Regions from separate parts of the Mus musculus genome. Here region 2 is reported to be linked to region 1. Evidence: microRNA targets listed by miRTarBase, many of them from high-throughput screens and not tested one by one. Region 1 holds a microRNA gene; the other region holds the end of a gene's coding sequence.

Region 1 (3,114 bases):
TGGCAAGTTGCATCATTGGATAATGAGCTATTCAAATGATGGCCTGAGTTTGATCTTATTGTCAACACTGCAAAAACAATGAAAACTGTAATGGTGAAATAGAAAGCACACTAGAATAAAAGATGCTATGATTCAATTGTGTAAAAGAGAAAGGCTCAGCTCCTAAGAGCATGGTCAGAACATCCTGCCTGCTAATTGCAAGCAGTGTGAATATGAAGAATATGCTTTTGTCTTCAATACAGGCATCGACCCTTATAAGTACTAAGTCTTCAAGAAATTCCTCTCATTTATACAGTCTATCAAATCCAAAATATATGAAAATTCAACATAATTTTAAAAATACGGATGATTTGTTATTAAAAGTGCAATTCTTAAGCATATTACCAAGGTTCATTTACACATAGAAAAGATGAAAACATTTTACAGCGTATTTCTATGTGATGAGTGTAATGACAATCTCATAAGACCAAAACATGTTTAAACTATATCCTGTGGTGTTGCAAATGATAGTGTAACTGGCAGTTTATGAGGTCAATCAGCGTCATTTAAGAAGTTACCTGTGATTCCTACTCAATAGTCATGCCTAGCCATTAGCCTTGTTTTACATTTTCTTTCAAAGTGAGGATAAAATATATTGAACTGTATATGTAAAGAGGGATAAAATTCAATTGTAGAATTAATGATTCAGATTAGACTCTTGCTAGAAGCTGTGATGATTACTATTATGAATAGAATGTAAATGAAAAAATCCATGCATATATTTGCTGTTATAAAATAGTTGTTGAATAAGGAAATAGTAAATTCATATGTTAATTATGATGTTTGTCAGGAAATTATTCTAGTGTTATATCATGTTACCATAAAATTCACAATTTCTTCAAATATCAATCTCCAGAGTCATAGAGTTTCATAAAACAATCTTATTCCTTAGATTGAACTTAATGCATTATTATGATTAGGAAGATTATAAAACATGATGGTCATATGCTAATGTTCTCACATATTCTTATTCTTATGCAAAAAACTGGCAGAGTATATAAACAACTAAAAATGTATCAGTTCCTTTATCGCTATATTTTCTTGTCTTTGGAACATACCAGTTGTCATTTTGACATTATGGTGTAAGGACAATGGATGGTTTAAACATTGTGTTTTTTTGGTAGAAATAATATGAGAAAACAATCCTGGTTTCCCAACCTTTACATTTCAAAAATTCTTTCCTTTGCTCTACCTTGAGGAGTTTAAGTATAATGATGGTCTTCCTGCTATAAGAAATATTACAACCGGCTTGTCAATCTTCTATCCCAACGAAATCAATCATGGTGACAGTTGCCACTATGGCCTCCTCCATGTATTTATAAGCATGGAGGAGGACATGTGAGCACCTGCCTCCAAGATTCAGATTGTGTTGATACTATGACACGATAACCTTCCAACAATACCACAAGGTACATAACAAATGAGTTCCTACTTTCATCATGATGTTTTTCTTCAGAAATCAAAGTCCTCATGACTTTTTAATTAGAATTTAATAAAATTTACAATGTAATCAATAAATGGTATTTTAAATGTTTCTTGCACAATGTTTTATCATATAAATAGAAATCAAAGATGATTTGATCAAAATATTTACACAATTTTTGTAACAGGAGGAACTATTTGTTTTGCATTTCATAATAAAATCAGGGTATAAAAGATGTTCAGTTGTGGAGCTATGAAAGCAAAAGCAAAATAAATACTAAAAATTATTATGAATATTCACTATTTTTACAGAACATTAATGAAAACATTGATAAAATTGTCAAAATCATGCTCAAAAACAAGAACTATAACCTTAAAATATAACACACAAGGATTTCATTTACAATACATTGGACTTATATTTGTTAAACTAAAGTTCATGGCAATGAAATATTATTGGGCAACTTCCTGTTCATCAGAATAATTTTCCTATTATATTTAAGGCATTTGGACCTGAATAGGTTCACAGTAGCTGTTAATAAATTATGAATGAATTTATTCAGAAAAATCAATGATTATTTCATTTAACGACTCACTTATTTCTGAGTAAATATGAAAAAAAAATACTTGGCATGGTGGCCCACATGCAATTTTAGTACCGGGTAGGCTAAAGCAAAAGTGGAGCAAATACAAGGTCAGTATGAGCTGAACTGAAAGACTTTGTTTCAAAAAGAAAAAAAAGAAATAAACCTCATCTATAACTGAAACATCACCGAGTCAGTAGCCTGGAAACTCACTAGATACAGATTCAACTTTATCCTCTTTCATGAAATGTTTACGTTTTATTAGGAAAGAGGACCTATTATTCATCATCATAATCATTTCAATTATGCTACACTCATTTAAAAAATTATACACACTCTTTTTATATAATACCTATGTTATTCAGTTGGGAGAAAAGAAGTGGAGAAGGAGGAAGAGAAGAAAAGTAAGAGAAGGAGGAGGAGGAAGAGCAAAAGCAATGAGAGCAGCCACCATCACCTTCTTGCTCAGTGTTGTATATTTTCTGAGGTTGGTACCATGTTTCAAATATCAATATGAGTTAACATCTTAATTTTTCTTAATATGCTTAATCCTTGCAAGGGCTTGACAAAGTGTCACAAGTCTATAGAAATTATCAGATGAACCACAGAATTTAAATTATACTCCGATTTTCCTAACACAATTATTGCACATACATGTACCTCTCTATGTATGTTCGCACACACACACACACACACACACACACACACACACACACACACTCCCAGAGTGATTAGAGTTTTAATTAACTTGAAATAATCAAATGCATACTGGAAGATTAATCTATTAACCTACTTTACTTTTGATATATCGTACATTTATATTTAATCAAAGATCTCTGAAGCTTTCTATTTCTGCACATTGTAAAAAGAGTCCATACACTTTTTGCTTTCATTCTTTCTGATTCTTTTCCATTTACTCAGTTTTTAAAGTTAGAAGTGTTTTAAAAATTGAAGAGTTAAAAATGTTCGGCAAAACAGGAAGAAAATATAGATTTACAACTTCATATTGTGTACTGAAACAAATAAACAGTAAATCACAACAACAAAAAACAAATAATATTTCTGATCA
Region 2 (3,114 bases), not on the chromosome of region 1:
CCGCCCTTGAGATGCGTTAGTCCCTCTCAGGGCTTGGGAATGGAGCTGAGCCCTGTCCTCACCTGACCAGGTGGCTGCCACCCTTACCCTACCCTTCGATGTGGTGAAGACACAGCGACAGATGTCACTGGGAGCGGTGGAGGCTGTGAGAGGTAAGCTGGGCTGGTGAGGGGAGAGGGCAGGCAGGGGCCTGAGCTGAGCCCTACTGAGCCGGGCCTTGCATCTGCAGTGAAGCCGCCCAGAGTGGACTCCACCTGGCTCCTGCTTCGCAGAATCCGGGCTGAATCTGGCACCAGGGGACTCTTTGCAGGTCTGTCTCTGTGAATGCACTGCATATATGATACATATCCATGCTGTGTGTGTGAGGGGACCTGGACCCCTCACTGTGGTCTGTCTTTCCATCACAGGCTTCCTCCCCAGGATCATCAAGGCTGCACCCTCCTGTGCCATCATGATCAGCACTTACGAGTTTGGCAAAAGCTTCTTCCAGAGGCTCAACCAGGAGCAGCCTCTGGGCCGCTGAAAGTCGGGGAGCAACCGGCTCTTGCACGGGTGGGATCAGGAGACTGAGCCAAGTGCCTTCCCTCCCAGTCCAGTCACCCAGGCTGTCCTCAGACCTGGATTCCTGCTGTTTCCCTTCCCAGGATTGCCCCTCTCCCGCCTCCCGAATTCAAGACCAAATCTGATGATCGCCCTTTTTTGTATCCCCATGTTTGTTATAGCTTGGCCCGAGGAGCTTGGGCCAGGCAGTATCTTGGCCCCATTCATTCCTTGTCTAAAGATGATGGTCTTCTGTGCACAGCTGTGGCTGTAGTGTCTTGGGGTACGTGTGCACGTTTGGGGGTCCCCAGTCAGACACAGTGGCCCACACCTGTTATTCCTTCACTTGGGAGGCTGAGGCAGGAGGAGTGCCTCCAATACCAAGCCAGCCAGGACTACACAGCCAAATTCTATCTTCACAAAAAAAAAAAAAACCAACAGCAACAAAAAGCTGGCATCTACAGGTATGGTGGCCCCGAGAGTTCATGGCGAGCAGATCTGAAGCCTGCCTGGCCTACATACTGAGCTCCAGGCCATCCAGAGACCTTGTCTTAAAAGCTTCCCACCTTAGGGGGTACCCAGACAGATCTGGGTGAAAGGTGCCTGTCTGGTAGGTAGTAAGGGCCTTTCATGTGGGGCCCACTGTGTTGGGGTGAGAGCAAGTCTTAGAAGGGTCAGATCCAGAAAGCACCTGCAGATGTACAGAATCCGGAGCCCCCTCCCACTCAGCCCACACCCTGAATGATGGCCCCATGTGGTCCCCCAGGGCACATCCTCCTGGCATGTGTACCTTGGTTAACAGACCTGTTAGGGAGCCCTTACCCCACTCTCCAACAGATGAAACCACTTCAGTCCTCTGGTTTTTATTTGCCTAATCTCTCCCCACATAGGTACCAAGGAAGGGTGACTTCAGAGGGTACACAGGGTTAGACCAGAGGCAGGGCAGCAGGAATGCCAGGGCTGGACCACCTGCTCCTGAGGCAGGTGTGGAAGAAATCAGAAGGAACCAGGCAGCCTTCAGAGCCACCAGAATGGAGCGCTGTCCCCAGGGGACTGAGGATCTGTAATCTGGGTGTCCCTCGTGGCCCCACCACTTCCCATGCAGCTCCTGCCTCCTTGGCAGGAAGCTGAAGCAGGAAAGAGGCTTGGGTCATCTTTCCCTAGAGACCCGAGGCTAGGTTGGTGGTGTTCTTGAAGGGTGGCCTGGGTTGGGGGACTCATAAGGTGGCAGTTGTCCATGGCCCCTGGCAGGTGGGGCTGGTGTTGCCCTTGGTGCTCCTCAGCTGGGGCTGAGCGCCGGGCTGCCCTCAGGGCTGTCGCTCACCAGGCATTCGTTGGATTTGAAGCTTGCCAGGGACTTGCAGCTGGGGATGGAGGCCAGGGAGCCGCAGAGGCCCAGCATGGAGGGCGTGGGGTCCTTCCCTAGGGAGAGAGGGCGGGTAAGGCCGGGCCAACCAGCCTGTGTTGTATGTGGGGAGGAGGTCCTCGTGGGTGGGCAGAAGGGGGGCAGTTCTCCAGTCACCCCCAGGGGACGTGGCCTCTTCTGGAGCATCTGTCATTTTTAATTAAACCTTGATTGAACATTCCTTGCACAGGGCTTGAGACACTGTGTCATAAACCATCAGTTTATGTCTCTGTCTCCCCAAGGTTCAGCCTTTCTTTGTCCATTTATTAAGCACACAGTGAGCATTTGCTCTATTTCACACTCTGGGGATACAGAGAATGGACAAGACATGGTCCCTGCCCTCACGGAGCTCACAGTCTGGTGGGGAGACACACACAGTCACAAACACAGTGTGGTGAGTTACATGTCCAAAGCCTGCCTCGTCTCAAAGTCGAGTTATCCAATACAATATAATATATATCTATGTATTTAAAAAAAAAAAAGGCAGGAGGTCCAGGCATAGGGGAAGAAACTAGGAAGGGAGTAACCAAGGAGGGGTCAACACAAAATGCATGCGTTGAAGTCCTGGGCATTCGCTCAGAGGGAGCCACTAATTTGGTTCTGAGCTTCCTGGCAGCCAAAGAAAGGGGAAAACATTGGTCAGGCAAGCCGTTCACAGTGTGTGTGTGGGCAGAGCCAGCAACATGTGTCTAGTGTCATGACACTAGAAAGCCGTTGCGCCCTCTCCATACGTGCACTCTGGAGGCTCTTTACCAACATCCCTATTTTACAGATGGGAATCTGAGTCAGCCAAGTGCAGAGATTGACCTCGTTTACAGGTAGAAGAGGTGGGGCCCGAATTTGCACTTTTGTTTTGAAACCTCAAGCCAAGCTCCTTATTGGTGTATAAGTACAGGAAGAGTTGAGAGAATAAGGGGTTCAGCCACGGCCTGACTACAGGGGCCCTATCCCTTTTCTGAAGTGCCAAGGTGGGTGAGTGTGTGTGGGGTGTGCTCACCGATGGGGCCCCAGGGTTCCTCGTCCCTCTTGGCCTCTCCCAGGCGCTGGGAGTCTGAGCTCAGGCTGGCCTCTGCAGACAGCGGCTCCGTGCTCATGAAGCTGTGTCTACAGCAGAACAGAAAAGTGCAGGGAGTGACCCGCAGCTCCAGGCCCCACTTCCTGGGACTGGG

What was found. Region 1 holds the annotated microRNA mmu-miR-764-3p (AGGAGGCCAUAGUGGCAACUGU, at 1,326-1,347, opposite strand). A microRNA usually pairs through its seed, bases 2 to 8, with sites in the 3' UTR of a target mRNA and lowers its output. Matches are read on the target gene's strand: a 7mer-m8 pairs with bases 2 to 8, a 7mer-A1 pairs with bases 2 to 7 and ends in A, and an 8mer does both.
Region 2: miRTarBase lists Slc25a39 as a target of mmu-miR-764-3p. Seed matches in the 3' UTR shown: 7mer-A1 at 911-917.

Annotation. Positions count from the first base shown.
Region 1 is chrX:147,000,557-147,003,670 of GRCm38, reverse strand. Mir764 (microRNA 764) reads right to left here and starts at 1,412; the gene lies at 1,305-1,412. All of the region lies in intron 2 of Htr2c (5-hydroxytryptamine (serotonin) receptor 2C), which reads right to left.
Region 2 is chr11:102,400,829-102,403,942 of GRCm38, reverse strand. It overlaps Slc25a39 (solute carrier family 25, member 39), which reads left to right. Exons shown (of 12, transcript NM_026542.3): 10 at 71-152; 11 at 230-310; 12 at 408-974. The coding sequence ends at 523. Rundc3a (RUN domain containing 3A) reads right to left here. Exons shown (of 11, transcript NM_016759.5): 10 at 2,943-3,049; 11 at 1,388-1,962. The coding sequence ends at 1,820. Among named protein-coding and RNA genes, the nearest start is that of Mir6930, 2.6 kb to the left of the region's middle.